Notamacropus eugenii: one gene and its partners. Each later gene encodes a partner of the first gene's protein in a complex. Links are inferred from orthologs where the notes say so. Each region holds a gene or a part of one and is shown in the gene's direction. Other genes may lie near its edges.

Region 1 (8,100 bases):
AGGTTGTGTCCCACACACTGCCCTGGTGTGTAACCTTTGACAAGTGACCCTTTGAGGTAAAATTAGAGAGCTAAACTAATTACATGATGTCAAAGATTCCGTATAGCCCAAACATCATCTGATTCTGTGAAAAACTGGTGGTTATTTATTCTCTCAAGCCAGTAGCCTTCTTTTGTGATGTTGGATTGGTTTTGGCTATGGTCTTAGTGCCCTCTGGTGGCACATTGGGTTGCATGCCCCTCCCTCACACTGATGCACTCCACTGTAAGCACATCTCAGCTTCTAAAATAGTAATAGCCCTCCACCAGTCAGAAGATGCCCTCTAGTATCCATATATAACAAAGAGAAAATGGGGCATTCACTCATGACCCTACAAGAGATGAAGTCCCCAAAGGTAGTCTCTTTTCACAAACTGGTCAGGGTAATAAATAGAGAAGGCCCTGGAAAAATGGATACCTACAGCATTGGGTTTGGAGTCTAAGGACCTAGATTGAAACACCAGGCTTATATGTCTACTGGCAAATCGTTCAGTATCTCTGGTGCCGGTTTCCTCATCCATAAAAAGGAATTAGAATGAACTGTTCCTTCAGATTTGTGGTTATTATCTCTTGTCAGTTCTGTGGACTTGGTCTAGTAGTCCAAGCATTCTGGAAAACTGTTTGGAATGATGCGAGATAGTCCCTAAAACATTGGCATTTTTGACTCTGAGATTTCACTGTTGGTCCTATCACAAAGAAACATGCTAAGACTGGCATGAAATGACAGCGAGTGAAGATGTAAATGAAAACAACACAAGAGAAAGGTAACTAATTAAGTGTAACGACTAGTCTTCATTCTGGAGAAGAGTGGGGATGGGGTGTGGAATCTATGGACCAGTTTTACTCATTTTTCTTTGTTACAAGGGAAAGACATGGGGAAATTTTTATAAAGTAAAAAATAAAAGATGTTAAAACTTAAAAGAAAGGAAGGGGGAAAAAAGAAAGGTAAAATGAAAGAAGTCTTGGCTTTTCCTCCATTTCTTAACTTCATAACAAGACAACTTCTGGAAACTTCTCTTGTTCTTGGCCCTGCATTTATATTGATTTAGTACAGGATCTTTTTAGCCTTCAAAGGAATGGGTCAGGGAAGAAATGTGAGAGGCTAAGGATGGTTAAAGGACTAGAAGGCTTCTGAAGGTTCCTTAGCTTCTGACCCAACCATTCAACTGAAACTGTCCCCTTCAAAGCTTTCAACAAGCTTTTGTTGCTAAATCTAATGGCCGAATGGAGTGGGTAGGGCCACTTAAGATAATACTACACTACATAAAAAGAGGGAAGCTAAGTGAAAATACTGGACCTACTGTCAGAAAGACCAGAGCTAAAAATCTGACCTTGGATATTTGGGCAAGTCACTTAACCTATGTTTGTCTTACTCCACCAGAAAAGGAAATGGCAAACTCCAGTGTCTTTGCCAAGAAAAACCCATGGGCAAGATGGAGTTATGAAGAGTTGAACATGACTGAACATACATGTGATGGAGTGCTCAGACCCCAGCCCTAAGATCATGTCTCTGAAAACTTCCCAATTTCTCAGTGGACCCCTGTCCTCTGAGAAAATTTTCTCTTGTTGTAGAATACATTCTCTTATCAGAACAGACAGAGGGGTGCCTGGCCCAGGGATTTTTGTCCCTGGCTAGTCCAAGGACTCCCCTCACCACATCAGATCCCCACGGTCCATGCCTCTAAGAATTCCCTCAATGTCTGGTATGAACACAGCTATCTCTGCAAAGCTCCCTACATTTTCCCATCCATAGCTCCCAAAGACACCTTTGCATTACCTAATTAGAATCCTCAGTATCCTTTCCCTTGTCCCTTTTCCATATAAGTCCCAGCACCATCCTAACTGTATTATAGGTTCCTTTAAGGATCTTTGCCTGCTTTTGCTAAAGCTTTACTTTTTGCACTTGACTAAGAGAAGGCTTGAGTGTATGAATTCATTCTGCCTTGGCATTCTCAGGGTCCTAGCACTCCCAAACCTCATCACATGTGCTAGACAATGGAGATATAAAACTTTAAGACAGCTAGGTAGCATAGTGGATAGAATGCCAGGCTTGAAGTCAGGAAGACTCATCTTCCTGAGTTCAAATCCAGCCTCCTACACTTCCTAGCTGTGTGACCCTGAGCAAGTCCTTTCACTATGTTTGCCTTGCTTTCCTCATCTGTCAAACGAGCTGGAGAAGGAAATGACAAACCACCCCAGTATCTTTGCCAAGAAAACCCCAAATGGGGTCAGGAAGAGTCAGACGTGACTGAAATGACTAAACAACAACCACCACCATCCCTGTAGTAATCCAAATTTGCAGTGTCTCAGTCATCCTCAATTCCTCCCTTGCCTTTCTCCTTACTCATTTGTTGAATCAGTCGCAGAGTCTGCTTGAACAACATCTGTCATAAGCTGTTCCATCTCTGCTCATTGTCTCTTGAGGCTATTGCAGTAGCTTCCTAACTACTCCTCCAGTCAATTCATCCTTGACTTAGTTGCCAAAGGGATATTCACTCCTACAGCACTGGCCTCACCAAGAGACTCCTCTACAAATGAAGTTCTAATGGGCTCCCAAATGCTTCTAGGATGAAATACCTGTTGGGGTTTTGAATTTAAAACATTTAAAGCCTGTTAGAATCTAGCCCCAGCTGACCTTTCCAGGCTGTTGACCTGAAAACTTGGTTAAAGAAAAGGCAGCAGGCTAATGCATACATTTTATGATTTAATTAATTAATCAATTCCCTATTAAAGACAACGGTAACATAATGCATTATGGAGCCAGAAATGTTCTGGCTACCCAGTGCAGAAATCTTCTGGCTTATATACATTTTGCCATGAGAAAGGAACTCTCCTAGTTGAACAAATCATAAATTCAGTAAGACAGGACAATTAACAAAGTAATGTTGGTCAGGCCTTGGGATTCCAGCTGGGTAAACATATGTCTTGGTGATAAAGAAGGAAATCCCACCACTAGTAAGTGGCAGGCTTCCTGCCCTAAACAGATAACTGACATAAGAAAGGGTAAACAAAGTTCAATAGAAATTACGACCTAAGATGTCTGTGTTTTCTTTACCATTAACATGCCATAACATAGTGTAGGTCTACAAATATTAAGATATGGAAAACGTCCCATTATTCAAGATAGTGTCTTAGGTTAAAGGTCTCCTTAAGGAATGTAGAGTCAGCCTTGGCTGGCTTTTGCTGACATAGGAAGAGGCACCCTCTGAGTTTGCTTCAGAGAGAACAAAGAGATTATTCTAAAATTTTATATTAAACATTATCAAGGCTCACTAAATATTATTACCCTTCCACATACTCTGTGCTCTGTATAACTCAGTGGTTCTCTCAAAGTGTGGTTCAGGAACCCCTCAAATCCCTGAGACCATTTTGGGACACCTCCTTTCAGGAAGACAACAAAATAGAAACTATTTTGTAATAATACTAAGATGTTTTCATTTTTAAAATGACAAATATTGATAGATGTTTGAAGGGAAGGGTGACGGAAGGGAATCCAAGGGAAAATCCAAGGTGACGTGAAAAAAATAATTAGCAAAAATCTATTTTAATAAAATAGTTGGTAGCTTTGGAGAGGATAATTTCATTTGAATGACAGAGCCTGAAGCTAGCTTACAAGTGATTTAAAAACTGAGTGAAGAAGCTTACTAACCAGTATAGACAGCTTTTTATAGGAGTTTCTATGGAAAAATGAAATTAAAGGTTTGTTTTGATTTGTTTTTTTAAGGGTAGGGAAGACCTGGGCATGTTTGTAAATGGTGGAGTAGAAGCCAGTGGAAGAAAACTTCAAGACAAGAGAAGGATGGAAGAAAGGATTAGAAATTGAATAGAGAACAGGGGTGGAGCATCGGTTTTAGCCATGGGGCATTTCTGAAATGGTGTAACACTTGTCTTGTCCCATCAGTCCATCAATTAACATTTATTAAGGGGCTGTTCTATGACAGGCACTGTGCTGAGTGGGGGTACAAAGAAAGGCAAAAAGAAATCAGTCCCTGCTCTCAAGGAGTTCACAGTCTAATGGGGGAGAAAGCATGCCAACAATAAATTAGGGGTCATCTCAGACACCAAGATCAAGGGGGACGGTGGGAGGGTTTCCAGCACAAGGAGGGACTTTGGCTGATTCTGGAAGGCAGGAGGGGTGGAGATGAGGAGAGCGAGACTTGGAGGCATGGGAGGCGGAGAGTGGAAACCCTCTCCCCGGGGAGATGCAGGGTTGTGCGGGAGGGGGAGCAAAGCAGGGTCAGACCAGAGGTGGGCGGGGCTCGCTCCAGGTGTGGGATACCTGGACAGGTGGCCAGGAGCCAGGTTGGGAAGGGCTTTGGAAGCCAGACAGGGGCTGTTTCTGTGTGATCGTGGAGGACAACAGGGAGCCACAGGAGGGTGCTGAAGAAAAGGCTGTTTTGAGAAAAACGCTTTGTAAATCTTAAAGCCCCGCAGAAATGGGTATTTTCGCACTCACGTCAAGTAAACCGGGAGGGCTGGACTGGTTTAGTTCCGAGGGTCTTAGCCTGAGGTCCGAGAACTGGGTTTTTTAAACGTGTGTATGTATATGACCACAGAAGTGATATGAATGTATATGATGATCGAAGGTATGTGTACAGACCGTTTACTTGTAATTGTTACATATGTGTATTTTAATGTTTTCTATATTAGGCGTATTTATAGATGTCATAGTGTTACATCTCTATAAATTACATTTTTATATTTTTAAAATAGAAATTACATATATGTATGTTTATGTATACACGGATCACTTTCAGGGTTATTTCCTTTGTAGTCTTGTGTATTTTATTTCACACACTTTAAAACATGATTCTAAGGGGTCCGTGGGTTTTGCCATTAGTTCGAGGGCCCAAAGAGCGAAAAAGCCCTCTTCCTGACATTTTGGAGAGAAGGAAACTGAGGCAGGGAGGGAAGGGAAGTGACTGCCCCCGGGTCACGCGGTCGGCGGCAGGGCCCACTCTGCACACGTCCCCTCCCATCCAGGCCGAGGCTAATTCTGCGTGAGGCGCCGCCCAGGGTGTAGGGCGGAGCTCGCCACCGTGGGGGAGGGGAGGGAGGGAAGTCCGGGAGCAATAGGCGGGGCCCCTCGCCCCTCCTCCTCCCCCCACCCTTCTCGGCGCTGACTCGAGGGTAACCATGACAACCGGAGGCCTTGACGCCCAGAGGACGCTCCTCCGCCGCCAGAGGTCTTGGAGGTGGCTTCCCCTCCCTGCCAGTGAGGGCCCCGTGGATACAGTACCCTACTGGGCGGCGTCTGCGCAGACTCCAGACTCCTGACACAGAGAGGAAGAGGTGGGGAGAGGGGAAATGTTTTTAATTCCTAACGCGAGTTGATGATTTTTGTCCCGTCGGAAGCCCCGTCCCGCGGCTGTTGCGCCGTACCTGCTGAAGCCGCGTGGTTGCATCACGTGGCCAGAGGAGGGCGGTCACATGACGCGACGTCCCGTGAGCGGCCTGGACTCAACTTACTGTCAAAACCCGAGATGGAAGCGACCCTGGAGCAGCACCTCGAGGACACGTGGGTAGTGTGGGCACGGGCGGGCCGGGCACTTCGGTGGCCTAGTCGAGGCCCGGTCCCGGAGGGAAGACGTGGGAGGTGTGGGGGGCCGCCCGGTTCGCTCCTGTAACCTCGGCGTCTGGTCTGTGTTAGGATGAAGAACCCGTCCATCGTCGGCGTCCTGTGCACGGACTCGCAGGGACTGAACCTGGGCTGTAAGTAGCGCCTTGGCAGGGAGCTTGTGCCCGGACCGGGGGCGGGGGCAGGCACGGGCCTCCGGTGTGCCGGACGCGCCGGGGATGCGGAAGGAGGTCGGGGTGGCTCCCGCCCCCGAGGATGCCGCGTTCTAACGGGGGAGGACCACCGGCAGGGGGTTGTGGATAAGAAAGAAGGTAATCCTTCGAGCAAGGCCCCACCCCCGGGGGCACGAGCAGGGGAAGCCTCCGCGGAAGATGGGACTCCCCCACTTAGGATACGGGGTGCCCCGGGGGAGAAGAGCCGAGGCCGCGTCCCCAGACCTTGGGGGCCCTGTTGGCACAGGTGTTCTCTAAGAAGGGCATCGACAGGTGGTGTACGTGCTGATGGGCCAGGTGCCCGGTTGGCCCATAGGTTGATGTCGTTGCATTTTAGCAGGGGAGGGAGGGCTACGTCTCCCTAGTACTTAAAAAAGTGTGTGGTTTCACTGTGTAGCTACTCATTTCACTGTAGAAAACGTTGGTCTTTCTTTAACCTGGGGTGGAGGATTTTTGTGAATTGTCCCTGGTTTGTTACATAATCTCAGGTGGGTCCTCGAGGCAGTCTTCTAACTCTTGCCCATCTCCACCTGTCCCGTCTGTCCTTCCTTGCTTGGGTGTCTTTGGAAGACACAGCCCTCCCTAAAAAGGCCCCCAAGCTCGGCTTCAAAGAGCCTGTTTCATCAGTTATTTCCGAATTCTGGTCTTAGGGTATGTAACTAGGGATTATTTGGGAGATTACTTAGGACGGGGAGGACTTCGTTGCCTCACCCCACTCCACCCCCTATCATTTTACGTTTATTCGCCCATGCCCTCCCCCATGCTGCCATTCTTTTTCAGTGCCTGACTTCTTGGGAAAATTGTCTGTATTCCAGACCTCTGTTTCTTTACCAGACACTCATTTCTGGACTACAGGTAATTGGGCTTCCTCCAAGGTTACCAAGGATCTCTTTACCTGCTGAATCCAGTGACTTTTCCTCAGTCCTCCTGCACCTTGATTTCTCTGAAGCTTTGACACTATTGACCATCCTTTCTTGAATATATTCTCCTTATTTGGATTCCGTGGCATTTCTCTCTACTGTTCTTCTTGTCTGCCTTCATCCTATGAAATGTCTCTCTTGCTGAAATGCCGTCCATCCCCTACCTCCTTTACTGTGGCTGACCCTCTACAGCTGTTCTGATTCCTCTTCATGGTACATGTTCTCCTTGGTATCATCTGTTCCTACAGGTTCAGTGTATCTCTACACTAAGGACTTGTTTCCAACTCACACCTTTTCCTAAATTCCATTTCTACATTATGGAAGCCTGATGTTTGACAGTGTGTGGCAAACTTAACTTGTTCAAAACAGAATTGTTTTCATCTTGAAACCTTTTCCCCTAAAATTGCTCATCCTTGGTTTTTCCTTCTCCCTCCCCCCCCCCACTTGCCAACTCCTGTTTGTTCTCCCATCCCTTGTCATCACTCAGAATGGCTACCACCCTAGTTCAGATCTTTATTGCTTCTTGCCTGCACTTTTGTATTGTAATAGCCTCCCAGTCTCTCCATTCTCCTTTCAGCTGCTAAAAGTACTTTCCTAATTCAGATCTGAGCATGACACTTTTCCTCAAAAATCTTGTGTCTCCTCATTGTCTAGAGCATAAAGTACAAACTCCTTAGCCTTGAGCCTCCCATAATAACAACTGACACTACTTTATGGACATTTTATTTGGACCTCAGAACAGTCTTGTGAAGCAAGCCCCGCAGGTTTTATTATACTCCATTTTACAGCTGAGTAATCTGAAATTCAGAGAAGTTCAGTAGTTTACCTGTGTTCAATTAATGTATCTATCCCCTTCAGTGTCTATCCCCTGAATCATTCTGTGTCTCAGCCTGGCTTATCTTTGTTGCCTTGTTTCTTTATATTCTGCTTCATATGCTCTGTATTCCAGCCATGTTGGCAAATTATCTATTTTCAGATCTTGGCATGCCATTTCCCATCTCTAATTTTGCACAGGCAACCCCCCCTCCCCACTTCCCACCACCACCTTTGTAAAGAGACTCCTTTCTCATTGTTACCTCTTAAGAGTTACTTGATGGCTGCTTCTAAGGTTCTACTGTAGTACCAACTCTCATAGGAAACCTTTCCTCTCATCTCCCCTACCATGTTAGTGTAACCTCCTTTTTCATTTATCATGTGTTGAAGTTGTGTACCTTTCATAAAATAAGCTCCTTGAGGACAGGGACTATGTTTTTGTTTTTTTCCAGTATTCCTAGCATAGGGCTTTGCACATAATAAGCGCTTAACAAATGTTTATTTAATTGATATGCTGTAGCTAAAAAAAACCGGACGGC
Region 2 (7,862 bases), on another chromosome or scaffold:
GGGGTGGGGGGGTGGGGGGGGTGGGGGATGGAGGGGGGGGTGCCTAAAGATTGAGATCAGCTGTGTGAGATTAAGATGACCTGCTCAGGTGGGGGCAGGCCCACCATACAGGGCTCAGTTCCCTCAGGGGGTTTATGATGAGACCTTCAACAATGGGTTCAGGCTACTGCCTGCTTTGGGAGCCTTGTCCGCTGCTGCCTCTACTGCTGCCTCCTGAGGAGGCCCGAGTTATGGGGACACCCTGCTCCCTTCTTGGCCAGCAGAAAAGATGCACTCACTGACCTTTGGAGCCTGTGTGTTGAGGGATCTGTGCTGCCACTGAAGATTCTGTCCCTGAAGCCTGCTTGGATCTGCTCCTCTTGGTGCCCACGTGGCCAAGGCTGGGCTGGGCTCTGCTCTGCATCCTGTGTGCGACAGACCTTTCCCATTGATCTTTCAGGTCACTCTGGGATAGAAATCTCCTCCACTCCATTGTTCTGTGGCTTCTGCTGCTCTAGAATTTGTTGAGAGTTCTTCTTTACAGGTATTTTATGGGCTGTGTGGTAAGAGCTAGCATATGTGTGTCTTTCTACTCCACCATCTTGGCTCTGCCCCCCAAACTTACTATTTATTGAGAAGAAAACAGGAGTGGTAGAGGACATTTCAGGTATGTGGGATAATACTTGTCAAGTAAGAGAGAAGCTGTTAAAACTTCAAAACTTAAGCCATAAAGAAAATCTGAATGCAATCCACAAATCAGTTGCATAATAGGTCAAAGCAAAGAAACAGTATTATTGCAGTGGTAAGAGCACTTGGTTTGGAGTCACAGTCCTGGTTTTGCCACTTCTTACATGACCTCTGACAAGTCACAACCCGTCTGGACCTCAGTTTCCTCATCTACAAAATGAGATTGATTCAGATGATCTGTAAGATTCCTTCCAATTCTGAATCCATCAATCTTTTGATCCTGCAAGATAAAAACAAAGATGAGAAATGAATGTTCCTGATCTTCATCGAACTTACAGTCGAAAATGGAGATTAAACATTTGCAAGTTAGAAAATGACAGTGCACTGGGAAAGTCAAAGATGTGACCCGAGAGAATCAAGGAAGGAGAGAGGCCTACTAAGGGAAGGAATCATGGAGGATGTCCTAATATGTCACCTTAGGATTTTAAGAAGATTGGTGGAGAATCACCACCAGAATGTGGTGGTACGGAGAAAGCATTGAATTTGGAGTCAGAGATAGAAATTGTACTGGCTATTCCTTACCTAGGTGACAGTAGGCATTTCCGACCGTGGTACCTTGGGAAAAGTGATGTATTTTAAGTCTGAGAAGCAGGCTTAGAATCTCAGTGCTGTCACTTAATGCTTGTATGACCTTTTGTGTAGCAAAGCACTGTTTGAAATCAAAGGGCAATAATTAGCAATAGGTATTAATAAGACTTTTTGTAGAGAGTGGTCCTTGACTTGGGTGTTAAAGGATGAAGAGGTAATCAATAGTCACAGTGTACAGGCAAAGTCAAAAACTGTCTGAGAGATTCAAGGAGGGAAGGGGCCTTCCAAGAGAGGCCAGAAAGGAAGGGACCATGGTGGATACCTATTATGTCAACTCAACTCAGTGGTTAGAGAGAGCACTGTAACTTCCTTAGTTCTCAGTTTCTAGCGATAAGGTGAGGGTTGGACTATATGGTCTGTAAGGAAGGTCTCTTCTGTCTCTAAGCCTATGGTTTATCATTTCTGCACAGCTCCTGAACAAGATTTTCAGCTACCTAGAGGGAATGTTTACCTACTTGTCCCACCAATATCCCAAACTCAGCATGTCCACAAGTTCTGGTTCCTACTAAGACTGTGTATGACCTTCTGTACCTCCCTTGACATAAGGCAAGAAAGTAAAGATTGGGATCAAACTGTACAGTTGGTGTTATTATGGACATGTTTGAGCAGAAAAATGACCTAGGCATCGGATGATAGATGGTGTGGAGCTGGGGGAGAATGGAAACGGAAATTAATTAGGAGTCTAAAAGATCCAGAAACTCAAAACCTGAATTATTCTCTACAGTATAGCAGAAAGAAATGTACTTACTCTGCCACTAATCCCTCCTACAGAAAGGCTATTACTGATACCCTCTTCTTGAAGAAGTATCTTGGGTTCCACAGGTTCAAGGTCTTTTCCTTTGAAAACAAGCAAAGCAAAACACAGCAAGCCTTTGTGAAGCATAAAATCCAATTCAAACTGCTTTAATAATTGAAAAGTAAAAGCACATAATAGGTGAGTAAGAAGGGTATCAGAGACAACTCTCCTGAAGACACTAAATCAGGAAATGAAAAAAGCCACCAACAGGCAGTCTGACCTCCAGAAAAGCATTAATGACAACCTTCCCTTCTTTCCCCTCCCAGTGTGTAAAACACCTCCAAGGTGGGGCAGGAAAGAGGACCAGCTGTGGCTACAATAGGAATCCATCCAAGCTCTTATTACATACTTTCAAAATATATTTTAAGTCTATTTTTATCTCTACCTTTTGTCTCCCTCACAGAACATAAGGCCCTTGAAGTCAGGCAGTTTCCTTTATTTTTCTTTTAAATATGTGAAGCCCAAGCATCTACTTAAAAGTACCAAAATAGATTCACCTTATCAGCTGACTGCTTGATCATGTGACCTTGGACAAGTCACTGAACCTCTCTGGGCCTCACTTTTGGCATTTATACAAGAAGAGGGCTGGGCTCCATGGCCCTACAGTTCCTTTTAGCTCTAGTCTAGGCTTCTTAATCTGAAGTACCTGAATTAAAAAAAAATGTTCCCGAAAACTCACTTTCAACATTTAATTCAACAAACATTTATCAAGCACAAAATTATGTGCCAAGCACTGGAGACACAAAAAGAAGCAGAAGACAATATCTGCCCTCAAGGAGTTTATAATCTAATGGAGGAGACAGTATGCAAACAAATACAGAGCAACCTATATGATTTAATTCCATGAACATTTATTAATTACCTGTCATGTGCCAGGAATACTGCGAAGCACTGGGGATACAAAAAGGGGCAAAAGACCGTCCCTATCCTCAAGAAACACAATCAAATGGAGATACCACTCAAATATATATGTATATACACACATATATGCATATTTGCACATATACTTGCACACATATATACACATAAATACATGCATGTATGCACACCACACATTTGTGCACATACACGCACACACAAACACAGGTATGTATACACAGTGTGCACATACTTGCATACATGCACACATATAAACATGTGTGCACGCATACATTTGCACAATGAATATATACACATAAACACATGCATGTGTATACACACGTGCACAGATACATATACATGCATGCACACACGAACACATATGTACACACTAGACACATGTGCATGCATATAAGCATGTATATACACACATACATTTACATAATGCATATATACCATACATATAAACGCACATGCACATACACATACATATTTGCACACATACATATACGCATGCATACAAACACATGTATGCATATACATACACACATACATATATTTGCACAATACATATATACACACATATATGCATATATACATATAGATTTGCACACACATGCACAAACACATGTATGTATACACACTATATACACATATGCGTGCATATAAACATGTATGTGTGCGAGCACACATATATGCACAGTACATATATACACACATATAAACACATGTATGCATATACACTATATGCACACATATTTGCACAATATATGCATGCACATAAACACACATGTATATACATACATATACTTACACAATACCTATACACACATACATATAAACACACGTATATACACACATACATATATACACATACTTATAAACACATGTGTATATGTATATACACATGCACATATGTGCACACATGCATATATACACACCTGCATATATATATACATACACACATTATACATATATGTATACATCAGCCTCCATGCAGGATAAGAAATGAAAGAGGGAAAGCTTTCCCTAGTCATCTCATGAATATTTTATGCATTAAAAACATGACTCTGACAGGGGTCCAAGGCTTTCCCAGATGGTACATGATGGAAAAAAAAAAGTGAAGGTCGAGGATGCTTCCAATTGGACATCTAAGGCGTGGTTTTCCTGACGCGCCCCTTGGCATCCAGCCAGAGGGACTGCAACATTTTAGCAAACTCCTTCAATGTCCCTCCCTGGATGAGTAGGAAAGAGACAGGCGCATGCGCCGCATTCTGCTGAGAGGTGGGAAGAGTAGGGAGAAAGGACGAAGGGGGCGCATGCGCAGAACTCCGGGGCGGGCTGAGGAGCGCAAGGGGCGGGTCTGGCGCATGCGCAGGACTCCGCGGGTGGAGGAGGGGAAGAAGAAGGGGGCAGGCCTTTTTTCGTGGCAGGTCCCCGCGGGCAGCGGGGCCAAGGAAGCCGCTTCCGGTGTCCTTACCCCTTTCCCCGGAAGCAGTGTGTCACGGGGCCAGGGCTCCGACCGAGCTTCCTGAGAGAGCGATAATCATGTGACCGCGGGTTCCAGAGGAAGCGGCTGAGGCGGTCGGAGCTACCTGCGGCGGCCCCGGCAGCCTGAGCCAGGTAGGCCTCGCGGCCTGACGGCGGGGAGGGGCGGCCGCTCTGGGATGGGGGCGGGGAGGCGATCCCGGGCCCGCCCCGCTTCACTGGGTGTTTCTCTTTCAGGTGCGGGGAGCGTCCCGGCGGGAGGAAGGGGCTCATCATGGCGGATGTGAGTGAGACCACCCCCCCCCAGCTGGGGGAGGGCCGCGCGGGGGAGGGAGGCGGGGGACGGAGCCTGGGAGGGGTGACCTCCCCGCCGCAGGGACGCCCGGGGCCTCCGCCCTGCGGGCCGTGGGGCACGTCCCCTTCCCCTGGGATGGTGCCCCTGAGCCGGGCCCATAGTCGGTGCTCCATAAGTGCCCAGGTGCGTACAGCAGGCGCTTTACAAAGGTCCGTTCCTGTCCCCGGCCCGGGGCTCCCGGCGCCCCCGCACCCCCGCACCCCGCCGTGCCTTGGCGCAGCTCAGATCCTCTTTAACCGCAGGAAGCCCCCGCCGCCCGACAGCACCGGGCAGTGACTTATGTAGCCCGGTGGTCGGTCCGACAGGCGCCGGGGACAGAAAAAGAAGGCGTGTGTCCTGTTGGATTGGAGCCGGAGTGGTCGCCGTAGGGTCCCTTGGAGCTGGGCAGGGTCAGATGAGGCCATGCGAAGGTGTGCTGGACTTGGGGCCGGGGCAGGGAGGTGGCGTGGAGCCAGGCAGACTCACCTAGCCGAGCTCCAGTCCAGCCTCAGGTGCTTGTGGGCCGGGGGACCCCGGACAAGGCACTTCACCCTGTCCGCCTCAGTTTCCTCGTCTGGAACATGAGCTGGAGAAGGAAATGGGAAGCCACCCCACTATCCCTGCCAAGAAAACCCAAACAGGGTCATGGAGAGTCAGAGGGCACTGAACACCAGCACACCTTGGGCCTGGCCTTGGCTGGCTCTGAGTCAGCAAGTTTCTTAACTTCTTTATATTTCAGTTTCATCAAAAAAATGGCAGTGATAATAACTTCCAACACATAGGAGAGCTTTCTTGAGATTTGACCTGGAAGGTCCCTCCATCATGAATGATTTGTATACATGTAAACTATTGGTTTTTCCCTCTGGGTGGATATGATTGTAAACTTGAAGGTCAGGACCTTGTATTTCCCACAGCACTCTGCTTTTATGAGGTGTTTTATGATGAGGGATAGCAGCTTTAGGACAAAGCTGGTGAACTGGGTTCAGGAATTGTTGAGGCTTGTGGGAAGGATAAGAATAGGTTTGAACTAGGAATTGTTCAGGCCTGTGGGAAGTTCAAGAATGGGGTTTGAATTGAAACTTGCTTTAGGAAATTTAGGGACTCTGGTGAGGGAAGTTATGAAATACCATTCACTCAGATTTGAGGAACTCCCTAAGTGTTTGAAACTGTATTTTCCCCTTGTGACATCTTGTTACAACGTGACTTTATATCTCCTTTTCTAGGATTTGAAGAGATTCCTCTACAAAAAGTTACCAAGGTAAAGGATCAGTAGTGTCACCCTGAATTCTGAATCATAAAGTCTCACTTTGTTGCCACCTTAAAATAAAAACACCGCAACATTCGTTTCACTTTTAGATTCACTCTAAGGTAAAGCTTTTATACTGTGCTTGGAAAGGAAATGAAATTGACACACAGAAAAGACAGGAAAAGTATGATTCTGCTTGCAGATGTGCATGTTTTTCATTCTCATCATGGCCTTTGCTTCATATTTATGACATTTTTTTGTGCCATGCCAGCTTATTTCTCTTGTGGTGTTAGATGTAGTATTTATCAACTGAGCCTTTCTGCTTTTGCTAGGGAAGTTCGTCTGAGGTGTTCTACTAATGAGAAAGATTTGGATTTCTTTTATACTTTAAATTCAAATACAGTTTACCTATGCGCACATTTTTAAAAATAGGAAATAGAGACTGGAGCTGTTATGTGACATAGGAATTCCCAGACAAGGAAGCTCCCTTTACTAATGCAACTTCAGAAAGTTCCTGAGAGTTAGGACTGAGCTATCTGGTAACTAGATCTGTCTAGCTGTCTATCAGATCTACTGGATCCTGAGAGATAGGGAAGGAGAAAATGCCATGAGACATCACTTAACCCATTATGTGAAAATATTACATATAATTAAATTCTGACTTTATTCTTATACCACACATCATGGAAAAATTCTCTGGGTTGAAAAAACTTAAATGGTCAAAGGGGTCACAAGGGAATATCATAGTACCGCTTGATGGTGCAGTGGTCTGGGCTCAGGAATACTCATCTTCCTGAATTCAAATCCTGCCTCAGACATGTACAAGCTGTGTGATCCTGGTCAAGTCACTCACCCTGTTTGCCTCAGTTTCCTCATCTGTAAGATGAGCTGGAAAAGGAAATGACAAACCATCCAGTGTCTCTGCCAAGAAAACCCCAAATGGGGTCACAAAGGGTTGGGCAGGACCAAATAGCAGCAATGGAAATATCAGCATTTCTTCTAGGAAACAAACTGGCTGAGTCATCAATAAGGAGACTACGTTTTCTGCCTTCTGCCCTGTGCAATTTTGTCTAAGCCTCTTGCTCATATAGAAAACAGTAGTGCTCATTAACTGAGTTCTGTCCACTGTGTATGGATATAAAGGTAGAAGCTTCTAAGTTGCTTATTGTTACTGGACTGTAGTTAAGGGTTTTCTGTTGAAACATCTTTAATTAAAATCTTTCTAAAGACCTGATTTCCTATATATATATGTGTGTATATATATATATATATATATATATATATATATATATATATATATATATATATATATATATATATACATATATATGTATATATATATATATGTATGTATATTTATATGTGTGTACATATGTATACACATATATACACATGTGTGTGTGTGAGAGACTAAAATTTCTAAACATATCTCAGCTTCAGTTTCTTAAATTGTAAAAATGGGATAATAATAGCGCACACACATATTCCCTTCTGGCCCCCTTCCCCCTGGAGATATTTGCAAAACAGCACCAGAGTGCCTAACAGTAGGTCAGTTAAATAAATGTGTTTGTTCCCTCCTCTGTTAACCTTTAGGTATGGCATGTACATCAAATTGTAGTCATAGTGGTGATGATTTTATGCCTTAGCCTTCCTTGTGACTGGTCTAATTTAAGACTATTTTAATGCAACAGATCATAGTTGTGACAACAGGGTCACTTGAAAGCTAAACCTTGGACATGATAAAATTAACATTGAGTTAACAAGGCACAAACATCACCAGGGTGTTGAAATTTGAATTGTTTATACAATTTCAAAATGTAAATAAC
Region 3 (7,650 bases), on another chromosome or scaffold:
CCCTTGGTTCTCTGCTGGGAATCCACATGCCTTATCAGGTTTTGATTCATTTTCCCTTATCTTGCATTTAGGGATTTTTGGACTCATTTATGTGATCTGGAGGCAATCTTCCTCTCTACCCTGTCAGTTTATTTACTTGTGCTCAAGGTTTTTAATGGTTTCTTTCACCTAGGGTCATTGGCATTTCAATCTTTTGCTTTATATTTCCCTGCCCCTCACTTTGACTCTGGGGGCTAAACCTCACTGAGGAATTTACTTTTCAGTGGTCTTAGTCTCAGATGTCTTGGGGACAGAAATGGCCTGTTTTATTTAAGTCCTCTTTCCCTTTGGCCTAGGGTAGTCTCCGCACACGCACACACACACTGACCTTCCTCCTCTGTCCCTTAGTTCTCTTGAGCCCTGCCATTGCTGTAGTACATCACACACATACCAGATTGAGCAACCTTCCAGCTTTTGTGGATCTTGGCCTCCTTCAGTCCCAGGGAGGGTGGGACCGAATTGAGATCTGTTGCCTATTTGTTGCCTTAGAAGGATGGAGTTGGGGGATCATTGGGTTCAGCAGGCAGAAACCACAACAGCAGGGGAACTGCTAAGCAGATCCCAGAGCTTGTCTATGAGCCTGCTAGGCTGGTGAGGGAGATATTATAGGGTTTGACCTTCTCTGATGCAGTTCTTACATTCTTAGAGTTCTTGGTGTCTCAGACATGGAGACACTTGCAATTGCTTTATCTCTTCCACATACTTCTTACTTTAGTTTGAGAGGTTATAAGGATTAAAGAAAATGTCTATTCTTTTATCTTGGTAGTCATGGGACTTGGAAGTTCTCTCCTCATCCCCCAGCGGTTTTTGTTGAAGTGACACCTTTCCTTGAAGAGCTGCCTTTGTTTCTTGATTTGAAATTGTCTCTTCCTCACCCCACTATCCAACATCATTATGAACAACAATAAATATTTATCAAGCTGCTTACTACATCACAGGCACTGTACTAAATAGATGAGGATAAAAATAAAGGTAAAAACAATGTCCCTGACCTCAAGGACCACACAGTCCAATGAGAAAGAGAAAATGCAGACCACTATGTACATACAAAATATAACAGTGTAAATGAGAGGTAATCTCAGAGGGACTGCCCTTGTAAAGGATTTGAGGGGACCAGGAAAGGTCTCTTGTAGGGAGGTGAGAGTTGAGCTGCATCTTAAAGGAAGTTAGGAGGTGGAGGTGAGGTAGGAGAGCATTCTAAGCAGTGGGGACAGATAATGAAAAGGTATATACTCACAAATTGTGTACTTTACCCAATCTTGTTTGTTTTTAATCTTGGCAAATATTAATATTCATGTTGATAGTATCATTGTCAGTTTTTGTTGCTTTGGGTTTTATATCACAGACTTGGAAGCTTTTCCTTCTGTGTCTTATTACATTGACTCAACAGGATTTAAAGTGTTTGGGGGGGGCTAAAAGGAATATATTACAGAGGGGTTTGGGGGTGGGGTAGGGAGACAGAGACTTCATTTAAAAGGCAGAATCACTTCACTGGAGTTGAAAAAGGCCAAGGGGTTATGGTTGCAAGTTGCAGTCAACTTAGGCTCCCCAATATTATTGTCCTGAACTGTCCTAACAACTGTGGAGATTAAAGTAAAAAAATAACATCTTGGACTCTAGAGGCCTAAGTTCCAGAAGAACACTTAACATCTTCTCACATTTTGCTCTATGCTAAATGCATAGTACATGATTTTTGTTCCATAGTTTATATGATAAATGACATGTAAAGTTTATGTAACTTTACATAACAGTTACTAGGTGGCAAACTATATGAAGGCAGTGTCCTTCATATAATTAGAGTTGAGCAAACTTGTGGTAACTTGAATTTCAGTAAAGTGAAAGAGACTTAGTGCCACTTCTGTGTGCTCTCTATATCATATCACCTGTTCTAAAGATACCAGAACCTTGGACTCTGCCTCTGCATCCCTGGACTATGATAAAAAGAGCTTTGACTTTATCTTGCCTTGGACCAGGCCTCTCTGTCACTTTCCTGAAGCCTCTATATGACACTGCATTTCCACTTACCTGCTTTCCAGCACACCTTTATATGTTGTCTTCCCCTAGTATAAATTCCCATAGTGCATTTGGAGTGGTTGGGGTTGGTAGGGAAGAAGATATTGGGCATCTAAGGGTTTGTTTACTTGTCTTTGTATCCTTAACACTTGGCACAGTCCTCGATACAAAGTAAGAGCTTGCTCTCTGCCTATCTATTTACCAACCTATCTATCTCATAAAATGCTAGACTTGGAGTCATGCAGACCTGGGTTCAAATCCTGCCTCTGAGTACTAGCTGTGTAGCTCTGGGCAAGTTGTTTAAACCTTTATGTGGTTCAAACAACTAACTATCTATGTCTTATCTACTAAAAAAGGGACTGTGATTTGCCTTGGTGAAAAAAGTTTATGTGCCAGGACTTGTCTGTGCTCATGAAACCACAGGCCTTTTTCACACTCAGATATAAATTGTCAACACACTCTCAGGAACCATTGTTGAGTTAGGTTAAATTAACTTCTTCTCTGGAACTTAAGTTTGTTCATCCATAAACTATCTTCCTGCTCTACACATTCATAATTTCTAAGGTTCTTAGACTTCTTCCAGTCAATAATACCCTGTTAAATTTTAGAGCCTAATTTAATAAAGCAGTAAGATTACTGGTTCTCTTCAGTTGATATTCAGGTCAGTCCAATTCAAAAAGCCTGTTAGGGGATTTATAGGACATGAACAAGAATTGCACAGAAGGAGAAAGCATGAATGGGTTGCCCATCTGCATTGTTGGAAGGACATATGTACATATATATATGTATGTATGTATATGTATATATATGTACAGAGCATTGCTAGGGTCCTTTGGGGATAGAGAGATAAATAAAAATATCTTCCTTTAGGGATCAGAGACATGTTCCCAAATCACTCTAACACAAAATATAATTCTAAGTGCACAGGAAAGTTGTAATGAAATATAGGGGAAGATGATGGTTTTGGAGTACAGACTGGGCACAATCACACCAAACTACCCCTAGTCTGGCTGTCTGGAGCATTCTCTCAGACATAATGGTAGATTTGGGGTTTCCTGGTATTCTTCACTTCTGACACCCTAACAGTCCTCAGCACACAGTCAGATCTTGGTTACCAAGTCATTTATCAGTTTAACCTATGACATATTCCACCTCCTTCTTTAATAATAATAATGAGAATAGCTAACATTTATATATGCCTATGTACGGGGGCACTTTACAAATATGATTTCATTTGATCCTCCCAACAACCCTGATTGTTGCTCTAGGTGCATTACCCCCATTTTACAGATGAGGAAACCGAGGCAAACAGACTTGCCTAAGACTACAAAGTTTTTGAAGCTGCATTTAATTTTGTATACACATACACTCTCTCCATTTTTATACTATACACATACATATGTATTACATGTGTTTATGTACACAGACGCATATCTACACACGCACATTATACATACATAAACATACATAACATGTGTGCATGTATATAACTGTCAGATGAACCCTCCTGGATCTGACGTCACTTCCTAGACTTCCAAATCTTCAAGAGCTCCTCCTACTGTCTATCCAGTTATATTCGAATATTATCTGATACCCAAACTGACTACCTTTCCACCTGTATTTCCTATTACTGCCCTTCACGCTCTCCACAGTCCGGCCGAACTGGGCTCCTCTCTATCCCCCGAAAGACAGACCTTCCAGTCCCGCTTCCCCCCTCCCCGCCACCCCCACCCCCACCGTGGTCCCCCCAGCTTTGAGTCAAAAGCCCTCCGCATGAAGGGCCACCTCTTCCGGAAGCTTCTCCCTGGCCGGCCATCCCCCACAAACCCCCACTAACACTCGTAGCATCTGGTTTTGCCCCTCTCCAGTGCAGTTAATAAGGCACGTGACCTGGTGTCTGCACACGTGCACCCCAGAATGCGTGCGAGCTCCACGAGGGCAAAGGTTACGTGTCCAGACTTTCTCTCTCCGAACTTGGGGAACCCCCGTCTAAATACGGGTGGAGTCTAGCGGAGGGTCCGCGGGGTTCCGGGGCTGCTTTTTGCTCAAGGGTGGGGTTCCCTTGCCCGGGGTTGCCCCTTCTATGCACGGAGGAAGCAGGGATGAGCGTGTGAGAGGGAAGCGGGGGTGTGGAGCCTTCTGCGGGGCCGCCACACACATCGGTGTTTACTCTCCCTCCGCTGCCGTTTCTCTCCGTCCCTTCCGGCCCCTGGCTGTCTCCGCCAGAAGAGAGACCCCCGGCTCTAGAGAGAACACTTCCCCTGCCAGGTTTCAGGACGAGCGCTTTCCTCCTCCCGCGGCTGCGCAGAGCAGGCCAGCTCACGAGACGAGGAACGAAGGATCCCCGCAGCCCGCCCGGCGCGCCCCGCCCCAACCTCTCGCGCGGTCCCGGAGGCGCGCGCCCTGGCGCCCTTCCCCCCTTGCGCGTACCCGGCCAGCCCTTGGCTGCCATGTGAGGGGTCCCGCCAGCCAATGGAGGCTCTCGGCAGGCGGGCTCGCCCCGCCCCTCTCCCCTCCGCCTCCTGTGGCAGTTTGAAGTGACTAATTTCTGTCATATGACTGTGACACCAATGGGGGCGGCGGCCGCTGGGCGGAACTAGATGCTCCGCGGCTGCTCTCGCTGCTCCCCGAAGGGGCCCAGGTCCCCGCAGCCCCCTTCGCCGTACACATCTTGCCACTCGCGGGGCTCCTCGGAAAGATCCAGTGCCGTTCGGCCCCGCCGCGCTGGGCCTGGCGCGGCCGGACCTGAGCCGGCCAAGATGCCCCCGACCCTTTTCCAGAAGCTGTTCAACAAAAGGAGCGGACTGGGTTCCCCAGGCCGGGACGCCCGGGACCCCGACTGCGTGTGCAGGTAAGGGCGGCGTCTCCAGCTGCTCCCAGCCTCGCCTGCCCCTTCCCCCCGCGAGTCCCCGCCGTCCCCGGAGCGGGGAGCGCAAAGTTGGACACCCGTGACTGTCCCGCCTCTGGCCCGCTGCCGCCTCCTTCCCGGAGCCGGAACTTGGGCGGCCCGGGTCGGTGGCTTTGTCCCCTGGGGGCGCGAGATTGCGGGGCTCCCCCCTCCCCCTTTCAACTTCTGGCTTTCGCGGAGTGGGCTTGGCCGGGTGGGTGGCCGGGAGGGAGGATGCTCTGCCCGCGGGTCAGCCGTCCGGCCCCACCCCCACCTCCTCCCCCACCGCCCGGTCACCGATCGTTTGTTTAGGTCCCCCACCCCCTCCACGCGGTGCCTGCCACCGCTGAGGTGCCCGGGCAGTTGGTATTTTCATCACCTTCCTGTTTGCAAAAAAGTTGAGCGGTTGCCGAAGCAGAAGGAGTCCTGCAGTTACTTCTCTCAAGCAGCCCCGCTTCCTTTGAAGCCGCCTGTTTACATCGGTACCCCTTTCTCTCGGCGAAAGAAGTTCTCTCCCCCCTCCGTCCACCTCCCCATGCTCGCCAACCGCTGTGCTTTCCACTTGAGACGTTGTTGAAGATTTGGGGCAGACTTCAATAAAATGAAGGAGGGAGGGGTCCAAGAGGAAGGGGAAGCAGGGGGGAGATGGAGCCCCGACGCGCTTCTCTTGGCTTTCTTGGAAATTGCAGTTGCAAGGGTGTTATTTGACTGAGCGACCTCAATGTTATAGAAGAAGAAATGTAAAATGCATAAGCTGCCAATAGCAGTCTAAGGTTACTACCAATTCTGTCATGATTTAACCTCAACAGAATTGAATCAAGTATTCCAAACGCAGTACTGTTAATAAAAAGAACTTTTGCTTTAGAACTCACCGATTAAGAAGTTCTGTAAAACTGGTTGCGATAGAATTATAACTTGTCAAATAGCCAATTTAAAAAAAAAATTGGATTAGGATGTTTAGTACCAGTCTAGGAAGGGGGGAAGGGCATAAGAGGGAAGAGAACAAGTACTTTGAGCAAAAAGTAAAAGAATTTTATGTTTCATAATAATAGCATTTATATAGCGTTTTAAGAAAAAAATCGAGTTCTGAACATTTTGAAAGTATGTGGCAAAAATATACAAATTTTCTCTCATTAATGTTTTTCCATATGCCATCCAATCTACTGCCATACTCCCATGGACTCCTAAAAGTTTCTCTAGTACCTTCCCTTTAAAAAAAAACACGAAATTAAAAAAAAAAACCCTTTACATTTCCTGCATCTATTGACACAAAATTGAAAATGGCTAAAAAATAATTGGGGTGTGAAATTGGTGGCATATTAAGATCAGACAACTGTCAGAAATCTATTTTTGTTTTCTGAACGAGGTACACAGATGCTAAAACGTTTATACCTGAAAAACATCTTTATAGTACATAGCAACACCTAATAAATGCCTGTTTAATTTGGTTGAATAATAATGTTAGGTGCAGATTTTTATATAGTATCTTCCATTCAAAGAAGTTCTTTGTATCTGTTAAGAACTTTTCCCCCTCATTTCCCCTCAAGAGTTCATTTTCCCATATAATCTGAGTTTTCTTATTATATCAAAATTTTAAAAAGCATGACTTCATCAAAGTAAGTGACTCAGATACTAACTTTCAGCCTAAAGCTATAGCTATTTCTGTCTCAAACTCAGTTTTTTCCCTGAGTTCTAATCAAGGTTAATCAAGGCAACTCACTGTAGGTAACGTGAAACATTGTAAAAGTGATAGGAGAAAAGAGTCTTGCACAAGGGAGGCTCTTTCTTGATGCCTTCTGTCATTACCCTTATCTAAAATGATCTCTTCCTTTTCTTATGCTGTCTCAAATATGATCATGTATGATGGATTTTGGGGGGGGTTCTAAAATTACTGCCAAACTTGGAACAGGGGACCTCAGTTATATTTTAAGGAATATTTTCTTTACCTTGATCATGTCCTCACCCAGAAACCTGGGGAAAGTCTCTCCTTTACCAACTCAGAAGGAATTGCTACCAATTTCTCAAGCATGTTGGACCATGTATAAAAAGTGAACTTTGGTGCACCTACAGGAGAAAAAAACCTTGTTCAACTTACCAAGACAAAATAGTCCTAGTCAAGTAAGGTGCCAGAGTCACAGTCCCACCACTGAAAGCCTTAGTACAGTAGAGCCAAGTCCCCTATTCCAGTGAATAGAACACTGGTTATCTTCCATGCCTGAAGTGTAATGCTTCCTTATCATAGGTATTTAATAAATGTTTATTTACTATTGACTGATCTCTGTTTCCTTCAGAATTTAGCTTAAGCATTAGCTCCTGTATGGTCATTCCTTATTTCCCCAGTAGCTAGTGCTTTCCTCTTCAAAAGTAATTTTGATAAATAAAAAGTATTTTGTGCATGCTTATATACTCCTTAAGAGTGGAACAATTTCACTTGGGTGTTTGTATCTCTCCCTCTCCTACATGACATGTAATAGCCACCTAATAATTACTTCTGGATTGTTTGGAATCCCTTATAGGCTGCCCCAGTCAAGTGCCTGATTTTCTTCCCCACAATCCTAGACTTTGGCTATCATATATTAGAAATCTTTTTCTGCTACTACTTTTACCGGTCTTTTTGTTCCCTTCTCACTTCATTCTTTCCTCATCACTCTTCCCTTAGATTTTGCTCTTGTTTAATATATTTCTTCCTCTGTGTCCTTCCCCTCTTGTGA

Evidence for each region.
Region 2: LAMTOR5 (region 1) and LAMTOR3 share a complex: the UniProt entries of both Homo sapiens proteins name them as parts of the ragulator complex. The link is inferred for Notamacropus eugenii from reciprocal best matches to the Homo sapiens genes LAMTOR5 and LAMTOR3.
Region 3: LAMTOR5 (region 1) and FNIP1 share a complex: the UniProt entries of both Homo sapiens proteins name them as parts of the lysosomal folliculin complex. The link is inferred for Notamacropus eugenii from reciprocal best matches to the Homo sapiens genes LAMTOR5 and FNIP1.

The regions. Positions count from the first base shown.
Region 1 is NC_092873.1:288,911,829-288,919,928, reverse strand, and holds the start of LAMTOR5 (ragulator complex protein LAMTOR5), read left to right. Parts: upstream 1-5,078; 5' UTR 5,079-5,371; coding exon 5,372-5,556; intron 5,557-5,688; coding exon 5,689-5,750; intron 5,751-8,100. UniProt on the Homo sapiens protein: As part of the Ragulator complex it is involved in amino acid sensing and activation of mTORC1, a signaling complex promoting cell growth in response to growth factors, energy levels, and amino acids.
Region 2 is NC_092878.1:137,825,785-137,833,646, reverse strand, and holds the start of LAMTOR3 (ragulator complex protein LAMTOR3), read left to right. Parts: upstream 1-4,792; 5' UTR 4,793-4,886; coding exon 4,887-4,934; intron 4,935-6,013; coding exon 6,014-6,048; intron 6,049-7,862. UniProt on the Homo sapiens protein: As part of the Ragulator complex it is involved in amino acid sensing and activation of mTORC1, a signaling complex promoting cell growth in response to growth factors, energy levels, and amino acids.
Region 3 is NC_092872.1:343,469,317-343,476,966, reverse strand, and holds the start of FNIP1 (folliculin-interacting protein 1), read left to right. Parts: upstream 1-4,580; 5' UTR 4,581-4,652; coding exon 4,653-4,903; intron 4,904-7,650. UniProt on the Homo sapiens protein: Binding partner of the GTPase-activating protein FLCN: involved in the cellular response to amino acid availability by regulating the non-canonical mTORC1 signaling cascade controlling the MiT/TFE factors TFEB and TFE3.